Linked DNA regions of Nothobranchius furzeri. The protein of the gene in region 2 purifies or fractionates together with the protein of the main gene of each other region. This does not show direct contact. Links are inferred from orthologs where the notes say so. Each region holds a gene or a part of one and is shown on either strand. Other genes may lie near its edges.

The links. The genes of interacting proteins can lie anywhere in the genome.
Region 1: the proteins of eno1a (region 2) and park7 fractionate together in Homo sapiens (co-fractionation; 3 studies listed by BioGRID). This does not show direct contact. The link is inferred for Nothobranchius furzeri from reciprocal best matches to the Homo sapiens genes ENO1 and PARK7.
Region 3: the proteins of eno1a (region 2) and tpi1b fractionate together in Homo sapiens (co-fractionation; 4 studies listed by BioGRID, with this or other methods). This does not show direct contact. The link is inferred for Nothobranchius furzeri from reciprocal best matches to the Homo sapiens genes ENO1 and TPI1.

The regions. Positions count from the first base shown.
Region 1 is NC_091743.1:63,725,469-63,729,709, reverse strand, and holds the start of park7 (Parkinson disease protein 7 homolog), read left to right. Parts: upstream 1-1,391; 5' UTR 1,392-1,502; coding exon 1,503-1,592; intron 1,593-2,055; coding exon 2,056-2,157; intron 2,158-2,424; coding exon 2,425-2,484; intron 2,485-2,901; coding exon 2,902-2,971; intron 2,972-4,241. UniProt on the Homo sapiens protein: Multifunctional protein with controversial molecular function which plays an important role in cell protection against oxidative stress and cell death acting as oxidative stress sensor and redox-sensitive chaperone and protease.
Region 2 is NC_091755.1:28,667,051-28,671,268, forward strand, and holds the start of eno1a (enolase 1a, (alpha)), read left to right. Parts: upstream 1-1,392; 5' UTR 1,393-1,530; intron 1,531-3,436; 5' UTR 3,437-3,449; coding exon 3,450-3,534; intron 3,535-4,218. UniProt on the Homo sapiens protein: Glycolytic enzyme the catalyzes the conversion of 2-phosphoglycerate to phosphoenolpyruvate. In addition to glycolysis, involved in various processes such as growth control, hypoxia tolerance and allergic responses.
Region 3 is NC_091745.1:74,103,041-74,107,326, forward strand, and holds the start of tpi1b (triosephosphate isomerase B), read right to left. Parts: upstream 2,851-4,286; 5' UTR 2,691-2,850; coding exon 2,582-2,690; intron 1,382-2,581; coding exon 1,258-1,381; intron 1,178-1,257; coding exon 1,093-1,177; intron 1,019-1,092; coding exon 886-1,018; intron 769-885; coding exon 683-768; intron 598-682; coding exon 510-597; intron 438-509; coding exon 319-437; 3' UTR 1-318. UniProt on the Homo sapiens protein: Triosephosphate isomerase is an extremely efficient metabolic enzyme that catalyzes the interconversion between dihydroxyacetone phosphate (DHAP) and D-glyceraldehyde-3-phosphate (G3P) in glycolysis and gluconeogenesis.

The DNA of each region.
Region 1 (4,241 bases), on a different chromosome or scaffold from region 2:
ATACAATGCTCACAAATCACCTCATCTTTCCTACCTAATATTACACTTCTGGCTGCATAAAGCACAAAACAAAATTAATGCCTCATTAGTTTTACACCTTCTGCATCATTCACACTTGATTTTCAAACTTTTCCTGGAGCAAATTGTTGAAAGAGAGCAAAGGTGTGCAATGAAAAAGTCTCCTCTTAGTGTTACATGTATTGATAGTTTTTAAAAGTTACTGGTGAGAATAAGCTGAAAAGTGCAAAGCAAACAAACTTCTTTTTCAGTGACTGTTACACTCGAGTTATGTTTTCAGTCACTTACAGTGGCTTGAACCTTTAGATGATTAAACCCTGTGCAAACACTTCCATTCATCAGTGGTTACTGTTTCCTTTCCTGTGACTCATCCTCAAGTCACTTTTGAAACTGGATCCCAGTCTAATCATGCGTTTGATGATAACACACTGAACAGAATTAGTAATTGTACGTAAGTGAATTAATGTATGGAAATTTTCTCGAGTGTGTTCGCGGGTCTGGTGCAGTTGATCCCCAGCTGCATATGTTGGTAATCACAGCTGCTTCTTGAATTCACTCACAGGCACGCAGCGAACAACCTGCTGGCAGCAACTCCTCCGCTTTTGTCTAATCCGTCATTTCACTGGGCTCTGAGTTGGTTAGAAGAATATGACAATGAATCTCTGCAGCAGAATACACATAGGCAAATTAACAAGGATGTGTGCCTGCACACTAAAGCCCTTAGACATCAAGTCTGGGATTTACATTGGAATGCGGATCTCTAAGTCTCTCAAGAGACTGGAACAGAAGTTTTCGCACAGACTTGGAAAAAATAAAAACTTTTTGCTCCTTTAGAGCTATTTTACAACATGGATTAGTCTGCTCAGCTGGTACTGTAAAACACAGTGAGCTGGAGACAAAACTAATGACTCAATTGAAAGCTTTTCTTTTAAGATTTTGCCAACAGTTAAAGTCCAAGTTGCAAATAAGTAAGAGACATGAATATTTCTAAAGCTCCAACAACAAAAATTTCAAATATTTAATATTTACTATATGTACCCTGGCACCCTCTGCTGGACAAAATATGGTATGGTATCATCTATTATTATTATTATTATTATTGTTATTTTTGTCATTATTATTATTATTATTATTATTATTATTATTATTATTATTATTATTATTATTATAAGGGAATCAGTCCAATCTTTAAATTGAAAATATGAATTTGTGTTTTCCATTCAGAGGTCAGAATGTTACACAAATAGTGGACTGTAAGTAAAATTTGTACAAGAATTGTGTTTACATTTATTTCAGAGTATAAACACCTTTGATGATTTAGTTGACATGTTTTTGTGCATGTGGAGCTTTGCCTTTTTGGAAGGGGGATAAATTGACGGATCTGGCAACCTATTCCTCCCGTTGAAAGTCTGCATTGGTCTGTACGTCTGCTGCCGCAGTTTTTAGCGTTTTAGTTCCTGCAGAAGTATAACTGTAAGCTAACTATGGCAGGGAAGAAGGCGTTGGTAATCCTGTCTAAAGGTGCAGAGGAGATGGAAACTGTTATTCCTGTGGATATAATGCGCAGAGCCGGGGTTTGTACTTGTTAACTTGTTGTATGCTAACAGTTAGCATGCTATGGTAAACAAAAGTAGCATGCTGCGGTTCATAGCTAACCCATAGAACTGACCTTACAGCAGACACCGGACCGTATGCTACAATTATGTTTAAACATAGTGGTTTATTAAACATTGATTGTGACGGTAAAGAAAATAATTAATTTGAGATAATGAGTGCTAACACTTGGTCAAGCAATAAGCAGTTTTGTCCTGCAACTATTGTTCTCCTTAACCTCAAAAGTTGAATCCCCTTTTGAGCTTGTAGTTTGTAAATTCTAGACGAACCCCCAACCTTTAGCGACTCCAGGCAGAAGCCAAGTTTAAATGTCAAAGTCCAACCTCTTTTTACCTTTCAAAATAAAAGCCTTCGTTGACCATGACGCAGGATGCCATGTAGTCCTGTTACTCTGGAGTTGTGATAACATTTTCATATTTGTAGATTACAGTCACAGTTGCAGGTCTGACGGGGAAAGAGCCAGTCCAGTGCAGCAGAAACATTGTCATCTGTCCTGATACAAGTTTGGAGGAAGCCAGCAAACAGGTAGAGCATTAAGACAAGCAGTCACATGTTAGGGAAACATCTCATGAGATGTATTTGTTGTGGGACGATGATGTGTATCAGAGCAGTTCCTGTTAATTTTGACGTTGATTCTACCAATTTCTGGATCATGGATCTAAAATTATAAGAATAAAGGAAATACATCAAAGAGTTACTTGAATTATATTTAGTTCTAAATGTTCAAATCTTTGTCAAAGATAACTTAGATTTTTTTAAAGACAGGTAATACTCATTTTGTTTGTGTCCAAGGGCCCATATGATGTGGTTGTCTTGCCAGGAGGAATGCCAGGTGCTCAGAATCTGGCAGAGGTGAGAAAATACTTACTTTTGACATTTTCATTGGCCCTTGTGCTCAGTGAGCAGCCACATGGCTCTAGAATTATTTTCATCAGATATGGTTTGCATTTGAAATCGATAGAATAGAAATAAAAACAAGTTTTTAACAACTTTTACTGTAAAGTATTTCCTTATGCTGAGTCGCATTTCTTTTGCTGAGTAGCTTGCAGATCATAATTGTCAAATATTGCATTTTTCTGCTGTAGCCCTTTCTAAAATTGTGATCAGAACATCCATAGCTGAAACATTTGATTTGCAGAAAGCTCTGCATAGCGGATACTTTTAAACACACTGCCTCTTTGTGTTATTACAGAATGGCCAGTGAATATGTATGGAGGGCCACATGGCCGCTAAGTGACTCTGTGTGCATCTGTTTTTCCTTTCTCCCAGTCGCCTGCTGTGAAGGAGGTGCTGAAGGATCAAGACAGCAGAAACGGCCTGATTGCAGCCATCTGTGCAGGTACAGCTTGTGAAAACAATCCAGCCATAATTATACACATTATCTAATAGATTTCCCTCTCTATGGGTTAAATATGGTGTGACCTTAATCTTGACAAGCATGTCTGGGACTAAAGAGATTCAGATTAATTAATTAATGACCACACAACAAGTTGGTGGAATTTGTTTCCTGTGCAGCACGACATGCTCACAACTCTGTGTCTACACCTGACGTAACTAAAAATAAACAGACAGGGACATACAAAAGCTTTAGGCAGTTACTTTATTTGGTGACCGTATAGCTGTTGGGGATAAAACTGTATTTGAATATATGTGATTTTGACTGTAAACACCTGTAGCGTCTTCTAGAAGGCAATAGTGTGAACAGATGATGTGCAGGGTGAGAGGGGTCCGAGGGGATGTTTCCTGCCCTCTGTGTGATGCGTCATGGTACAGCGTGTCAGTGGAAGGTAGGGTATGGCCTATAATTTTAGATGATTTGACTGTTATGTGTTGTTGTTTTTTACGTGAGTTGGAGTCCATATTACCATACGAGACTACTATGGGTGAGGTGAGTATAGTCTGAATGATGGCAGTGTAGAACTGTACAAGGACGTGGTGCATTTGTACATGGTTTGTAAAGGTTGATTGTGCAGTCACTGAGCAAGAAGCATCTGACTACGAATGGGATGGGCAGCCATCCTCTCACGCCTAGTGAATGACACTTTAGGGTGGCCAGTTAATGAATTTTGAAGTGCACAGAGATGGACTTTCTGATTTAAAGCTGCAAAGGCAAATCTGCAAAACAAGCTAGCTTTTAAACACAAAAATGGTCACAGAACACTCACCTCTCCCATCGGCTACTATCCCCTGGCCACGCCCACCTGATATAGGAATCCACGTGCCAGGGGACACGAGAGAGCGCAAAGCACCAGTTACCGTTTTCCAGGTCCAAACGTCTTTTGTTGACTTCAAATGGTGTTTTTCTTTTTGGGACTCTGGTAGATTGTCCTAAAGTTGAAGTGGTAGCAGCCGGCTGTTTCTCCTTCTCTGATATTACTGAGCACCTCTCACACCAGTGACTGGAGGACCCAGGTAAATGCAGAAATGCGGTGGCCCAGTGAGACAAACTACTGGCATCATATACGTATGTAGACGCCTCATAGACTGGCGCTCCCCATAGGAGCTGACGTATTAGCGCAGCTGCCATCTTGGATAGGTTCCTATTTGCCCCCAGTGCATTTATTTCTACTGAGAAAGGTGTTCACCCAACTACAGTAGTCCATTTTGTT
Region 2 (4,218 bases):
ACACAAAGAGCTGTGATTGGTCCATAATGGTGGGCCAATCGTAGTGCTCTATCTGCTTAGCAGGGGTGGACTGGGACCAAAATTCGGCCCTGGCATTTTTACGAATCGTCGGCCCTCCCCATTGGGAGAGCGTTGGGGGTGGGGGATGTTGCCGCCCGTGGACTCGTCTCTAGGCCGAATGAGAGTTCTAATATGAACTGGGACTGTTAAATTACAAGCATGGGCAGACCGCTGCGACTGGGAGCCCTGGCCTTCTAGATCAGCTCATTCCCCATGGGCGGAGATCAGCGGGACATTAGCTACATGCTAAAGCGGTAAAACAACTTATACGTCATCGCTCTAACGCGTTTTTCTAGCTAAAAATGACTGGAAAAACTCTGGTAGCTTCAGGTTTTCATATAGCTAATGTTCTGCAGATCACCAACTGTGAAGTGGTGTCGGCCCAAGCAGGGTAAGCAGCCCACTTGGCTAAGTGGCCCACCGGGACAGTGCCAGAATGCTAGATAGGCCAGTCCACCCCTGCTGCTTAGTGAACAAATCACAGAGCTTTATCCGCTTTGTGGGCCAATCAGGGCACTCTATATGCCTGGTGGGTGGGATGATGCAACAGAGAGAAACAAGAGTATGTCACATTCTTTGTCCAGTAGCATGCGGCGATCATTTGAAAGACAACGGTAGAACCCACCCCACAACCGAGAGCCGTCAATGGAGCGTTGCCAGACTAAATAATACATTTATTTAGTCTGGCTTGCCAGGCTAAGTGAAATGTTCAATTTGACTAGAAACCATCCATCCATTTTCAGTCGCTTACCCGAAGTCGGGTCCCAGGGGCAGCAGCCTAAGCCGGGACGCCTAGACTTCCCTCTCCCCAGCTACTTGAGCCAGCAATTCCGGAGGAATACCCAGGCGTTCCCTGCCAGCCGAGAGACATAGTCCCTCCAGCGTGTCCTGGGTCTTCCCTTGGGTCTCCTCCCAGTTGAACGTGCCCGGAAAACCTCACTTGGGAGGCGTCCAGGAGGCATCCTGACCAGATGCCCAAGCCACCTCAGCTGGCTTCTCTCAACATGGAGGAGCAGCGGGTCTACTCCTAGCCCCTCCCGGATGACCGAGCTTCTCATTCTATCTCTAAGCCACCCTGAGGAGAAAAATCAAAGCAATTTGGCTAATTGCTATATGGCAAAATGGCTTGCCATATAGCAGTATTCAATCAGCTTCCTACCTCTAGCTGAAGCCTATAATTCCCATAATTCATTGTTTGAGAGCGCTTCTCATCTCTGCGCTCCTGTAGGGATGCTTTTTTAATCAGAAAAGCCGCATCCTCCTGCCCTTCATCCGGGTCCTCTAACTCCTATTAGTGAACGTGCGCTCCTCCTCGCGCTCCTCTACGTAGTGTCTCTCTTCCAGCCAATAGCGTCGCACCGTTCCTGATTCCGACCACTTATCTTCCAGCTCACAGGGTCACGAGCGCCTTCTCTGCCTGCTTACCCGAGAGACTGAGCACCGTCCTTGCACACAGTTAGGCCGGAAAAGGTAACCTTTACCGTTGTTTTTCTCCTTTCCTCCTGTTTTTCTTCGATTAACAAACATTTTAAAGCTTCGTGTGGTTATTGTTAAGCCGAGTGTGCTAATAAAATCACTTTACTGCTTTTTAAAATTACTACACGATGGGTTTCCTCTTAAACGAAATCCTCCGCGGTTTGTCCTTGTCGGTGCTAGCTAACTGTCGAATATTTTGGTAGCTCGATCACGTTTGATTCCTTCATCTTGCTGTTGTATTCAGCAGGATGGAGCGATTTCTTTAACTCGTCGTCTATTTTTAAACAACGCCGTCAGCTGGCGAGATATCTCTCCATTTAGAGCTGAAGTGTGTGAGGGGGAATGGGGTGTCCGGTTGCAAGGCCACCTTGCAGCAGACCGTATTCTTCATTTTGACGAGGAGCCATTATTTGTGACCCTCTTGTTTCGAATAGGAATTTCAAAGCCACTCGTTTTTTTGACCACCGGTTGCTTGCAGCATACACGGAGGTGTGTCCACCGTGTCAGGGAAAATTACTGAGGGGGAACAAGCCTGCACGGGCGTCTGGGTTTCCTTCATTCTCCCAAGCTAATGAGTCCTGTGAGGATTCTTGCATCTTTATTAGGACAATCAGAGAAAACGCTGTAAGTCCAGTAGAGGAGTTATTTTATGCTTTAAAACTAACTAAATAATCCACATCTAACCCAGTATGAAGTAATGATGTCTCGAATTAACTGATTTACCAGCTGTAAAATAATTGTTCTGGATTATTCACGCATTTCTGTCTTGCATTGAGTAATGATCAGAAAATGCACATTTATTTCAAGACGGGTTGTCTGTGGCTGAATGGATAACATGTTGCTAAAGGGGGGACATTTACAGGAGTGGTTCACAAATAATCCAAATAGTCAAGGGTTTTGCATGTTCGTAGTAGTTAACCTGCTACAAAATTTGGTCTGCATATGTTTGTATTTTAAATATTTTAATGAAAAATAAAGTCCCACACACTTAATAATAAAACAGCCAAACTCTGGGATAATGGTTTATCTAAAACTGATCTTATTCGTGAACCATTTCACAAAGTGATCCTGAAGATTTGTGCTAACGTTACGGCACATTTGGGGACTAAGATTTGGTCGTTTAAATTTTAAAGCTTTGAGTTTTGATACCCAGTCTTAAAAAAACACTTCCTCTGTGAATTTGTCTGTGGCACATTTCCACACAAACTTTTAAGGATTGCCTTTTCCATTAGTTTTAATTAAGCTGCACTCACGCTTGACTTTGCAGAATATGAATTTAGGGCGAGTTGAGTAGAACAAACACAATAATCAATATAAAACTGCAGGCGTCATGGCCCAGACAGTCTGGCATTACACTGTTTGACTTCCACTGCAGAAATGGAGGTGACAAAAGCTCTGAGATTAAGCCTGCAGTCTGTATCAGAGCGAAGCTTGTTACAAAAAAGGCCAAACATTGCACTGGTGCCAAATCACGTTCCTATTTTGCACATTTACGCTTAAATATTGATATTGTTGCATAATTCTTGACTTTACTGGGGCAAACATTTTGCAAACTATTTCACAATCGGAAGTGGTTTGTGAACTCAGTTGACCTGCAGAGAATTTTCTAGTGCTGCAGAAGCCACACCCCGCCCCGACTGAAGCAACAATCATTCTGTTCGGATCACATCAGTCTGATAGTGTGCAGGTCTCATTTATTTTAGTCTTCAAGAAGATTTACAGCTGATCAATATTTCCCCAGACTCCTTTTTCACATTGAGTTTTATTGTAGGTGTGCTGCAGAGCATTTATATTTTTTGCCAAGTCACTGTTCACTGGACCATTAAGTATGCGAGTGCCCCTGTAGGGAGGCCTGAATGGTTGCAGTATCGGTAATGAACTTTTGCTCTCGTTTTTGCAGGAGATCTGTAACAATGTCCATCCTGAAGATTCACGCTCGTGAGATCTTTGACTCTCGTGGAAACCCCACCGTAGAGGTCGATCTGTACACCAAGAAAGGTTTGTAAGAGCTCTTATGATTTTCTGTACAACCTTCAGGTGCTGAATGACTTCCTCCTTAGACATGGGTAGTTTAGTTGTTCATTTTTTGAATCATTTAATCAGAATTGGTGATTTTTCCATTAAACCTGAATATTTTATGAAGTTTTAGGCTTATCTTTCTTTTCATAGTTTACTTGATCAATCTGGGGAAAAATACAAACTTCCTAGTTGTTCTGCAAGTTTGAATTTTCAGTGCAATCAGAATGTCTTACTTTGCTAATTCATAATTTGTTATTCCCCCTGAAACATACAAAAGTGGATATTTAGGTCAGGTTTGTGCTTGGTTACTGCTGCTGGCCCAGAGTGGATGGCATTCATGAATGTGTGAAAATAGCTGCTGTAACTTGACATGACCTCCACAGCTCACAGCTACTGTAATGGTTCCTGTTTGGGAGCACACAGCTCATACAGTACACATCAGTAGCAAACCACATCAGCTGATTATTAAAATTCAAATGACTAGAAACCTCCTCTTCTGAAGTGATGTAAAATTAGCTTCTCTGGATTATGTGACTACGCTGCCTAGAAGTCATCTGTACTCTTTTGTACGAGTCCTCTAAGGTCTGGATCAATTCATTTCATAATGACCCATGGTTTTATTTATTTGTTTTGTTAAACTAAACAAAGGGTTTGCTCGACTTG
Region 3 (4,286 bases), on a different chromosome or scaffold from region 2:
AAGAGCGGTGACCCTGTTCGCACAAATAAAGGTTGTAAACGTTTCAAGTGAAGGCGTGGACAGTCGGTCCACCTCTAGGTGTCAGCCTTTAGCTCGAGCACTTGGTGTGGGAGTTCGTTCGGCCGTTCTCAGTAGAATCATCAGTGCAGAATGGTGAACGTGTCAGCCTGTCCCTTTTTTTTTTAAATATTAAAACTAAAGAAAAAAGGAGGAATGACAACATTACACAAATACTTTTAATAAAGACAAGGAAGAAGTACTGGAGGTTAAGGGGCGAGGGGACCAGATCATCTGAATGGAAGTGACGCTGCTGGGATTTTACGCCTTGGCGTTGATGATCTCAATAAACTCAGGCTTGAGGGAAGCTCCGCCCACAAGGAAACCATCAACGTCCTTCTGGGAGGCGAGTTCCTTACAGGTGGCACCAGTGACAGAGCCTGAGGGGCAGCGGCGGTTAATGAGACGGCATTAACGCAGGAAGAATGCGGGACGTTTGTCCGTTTACTCACCTCCGTAAATGATCCTGACAGAGTTAGCTACAGCCTCAGAGACGTTGGTCTTCAGCCACGCCCTCAGCTTCTCATGAACTTCCTGGGCCTGAGAAATCACACAGGAAACTTGTTAAACACTGCCGCCCTGGTGGTCCTCAAGCAGGAGTATTTAGTTGTTCTCCCACGTCTACCTGTTGCGGGGAGGCGGTCTTGCCTGTACCAATGGCCCACACGGGCTCATAAGCAAGCACCACCTTGCTCCAGTCCTTTACATTGTCTGCCAAACAGATAAGACCACAGATTTAGCAACTTCTCCAGATTAAGGGAAAACGTATTGCTCCATTTGGGCTTTTTCCTCCCGTGCACACGAGTTTATATAAAAGAAGCTGCATACCTGCAATGACTTTGGTCTGAGCAAACACCACCTTCTCCGTGATGCCTCCTTCCCTCTCATCCAGCTTCTCACCGATGCAGGCGATCACGCCGAGACCGTTCTCCAGAGCGTGAGCCGTCTTCTGACCAATAAGCTAACGTTGCACAGGAGGACATTCAATAAACACGCCGTTTAATCCTCTGTGAGATTTAAACTGTTAAATCTTACCTCATCGCTCTCTCCAAAGACGTGGCGCCTCTCAGAGTGTCCCAGGATCACCCAGTTCACACCACAGTCCTTGATCATCGCAGGGCTGGAGGCAGAGAACGGATAAGACTCACCGCAAACCGCTAGATCCACAGAAAAAGGCTGGACAGGTTTCTACGGCACTACCTGATCTCCCCAGTGAAGGCACCCTTGGGAACCTTGTAGCAGTTCTGAGCTGCCACACCAAACTTGGCATCCAGCTTGGACCTGGTGAAGTCCAGGTAGATGGATGGAGCGCCACACACCACCTCTATTTATGTAGAAGGTTACATAGTCAACAATAAAGGCTTTTTATTAGCTTTAGGACTAATTCCTATAAATATTGAAATAATCTACGATTTTTGTTTTAGAACAAAACACATTCAAATAATCCTTAAACATGGTCCCCCTGTGTGAATACAAGACTTTGACACAAGTACAGTGAAGTCCAGACACTGACATTCACATTGTAACTGTATCTTTGGGGTTACGAGGAGCTAAATTCAGTTTGGTAAAGGTCATTTGTCCCGAGCCAGAGTCAACAGCAGTAAAGGTCTGAGTTCAGTTTCTAAAAAGGTCAACTAAAGGCTTGCATTCTGCAGAGGACGAGACATGGCTTAAACCTGGGTTCAAAAGGTCAAATGACCAACATGATGGACATTAGAACAACAAGGCAAAGCCTGTCTGGCACTGCAAGGGAGGTGGACTCATTTAGGGGGCAAGGTCCAAGGACAGTATGAGCAGTTGCTCCTGGACAAGCGTGGAGCAGGTAGATACAACGTTAGGGTTGCATAATAATGCTGAATCGCAACAGGTTTGGTTTTGACACAAAGTCTGCGGACCCTGCAGTGAAGGGGGGAAACAGCTGCTGCTGTTTTTTCTGGTTTGCAGAAGCAGATAGTGCAGACGATGCGTTCAGGTAACGATAGGGAAAAATAAAAAAACACAGACTCAGACATTCACGCATGAGCAAAAGGTAAACATGCACATTGATTTTAAACGTATATAAATTGTATTTCTGTTTTAATTAAAACCTCTGATCTTTTACTAGCTTTGTTCTGTATATTTAGCCAGCAGGCTTTGGGAAGCATCAGTGACCAGTGCTTGATCTTGAATGCATCCCGGGAGCTAGCGTGACTACGTGCAGCTGCAAACGCACACCCACCTCCGACATCACCGAAAAGCTTCTCTGCTCGCCCTTCACCTGTACCCCTTCATACTTTTCTGTCTATTTTAGGTTAATTAAACTCGATTCAACACGACAATATAACGACTGTTTCTTTTTAAGGGCTTTTAAAATCATTGAGGAGGAGATTTGTGATGCTAAAGGTGTCCTTGTTTCATGACTGAACGAGCCATTTTGAAAATATATCAAAAATCGTTTTGAAAGAGAAAAAATTGACGAACACAACGGGGTTAGGCTGAAAGATTCAACGAAAGTTTTAACTCGGTTGTTAAAATCCACACATACCGACATTAGCGTCCACCTTTCCTCCGTTCAGGGTCTCGATGAGCTCCCCGAGGCTTTTCTTGTCTCCATTCATCTTCCAGTTTCCACCGACAAAGAATTTCCTGCTCATGTTTGCGGGTTTTTGTTAGGATTTACTAGAGAATTAAACTGGACAGTACCACGACGGGGACCTTCTCTTTCGGGGCAGAGAGCAAGCGTTTGATGGCTGCTTTACCTATTTATACGGAGGGAATTTAACACCGCCTCTTTGTCAGTATACCGACACACCATTGGCGTATCACGGAACGCCGATGAACGCATCACCGCAGCAGGGGAAGAGGAAGAGCGAAATGTCATGCTGCGTTCAAGTGCTGTTTGAAAAGTTATTTACACAAAGATAAACCACAAAAAATACATGTTTTAATTGAATGAAAAAGATACGTAGTTGTTTAAATAACTAAAAACAGTTCGAAAAAACTAAATAGCAAAAATTTAGCTCACTTATGCATAAAAATCATAACTTGATGAACTGAATGTATTGTGATATCACCTAAAACGTGTTTACATCTTCAGATACTATCTGTGATAACATTTCCACATTATTTTGTGATTTGATAGCTGAGATAAAAGTACTACATTACGAATTACAAACTAAACTGTTAAAAGCACAACGAAAAAGAGTATTCTACACCTGAAAGAACTGTTTCTCAACTACTGAACACATCACATAATTTGTATAAATATGTTTAAGTTGGATATGTAATTATTTTATTTTACGTACGAAAGTAAAACAAATGTATTTGAATCATGTGCAAAAGTGTTTCCATTTGAGCATTTATTTAACGCTTTCACTTTGAATGACACAGTAATGCGCTTTTGGATTGGTCATGACTAGTGACCCACCTAGCCCCGCCTACCTTTAATGACAACTGAAGAACAGATGATCTGGTTGGACAGATCACGGAACTTGTATTTACATTTTACATACCCAACATGCATTGCGGTTAATCTCAAATATTATACTTGTAAAACACATATAAAACACGTTTGAAAGTAACTTTTTGTATTAAATGTTGTATTAATTTACTTTTTATAATGTACTTTACTATCAGCTACTCTAACTGTATTTTGTCAAACCGTAACAAGAATGTATGTGTCCCTTTTATTAGTATGGTTGCGGAGCCGTTTCAGGTTCAGGATAATTTGCTCTTTAATATTTATCTAGCAGGTTTCTCATAATGAGAAGCCCCTTTAATTGTGAGAAGCAACCTACCTGACTGGTATTGTAGATAACGACTTAACAAAACAGTTTCTGTCTCCAAATAATGTGGTGCACATGTGCATACTTGCGCAGTATAAGCTTGTTAGTCTGTCTATTAAATGTCTCTCAGTTTATCTCAATAAATTAAAAAAAATTAAAAATTCTCAACATCATCATAGCTTTAAGATATTTTATTTTTCAAATGGATCTTTTTCGTTAAAATCCGGTGAAAAACTAGCCTTGAGAACTAGACCAATTTCTTGCTTTGCAAAGTCTGGCTTGCCAGGCTAGTGAAAAACAGATTGCCTCACCTTTACCCGTGTTACTGTAGGGCACAAACAAGCCCCTCCCACTTTCCTCAGGCTATCCCAGTAGCCAATCACAATGCAGTTACTCTTATTCACATCCCGGGGCCTTGCATTTTCGGCTTTTATTTATTACCAGTCACTCAAGCGCACAACGAGT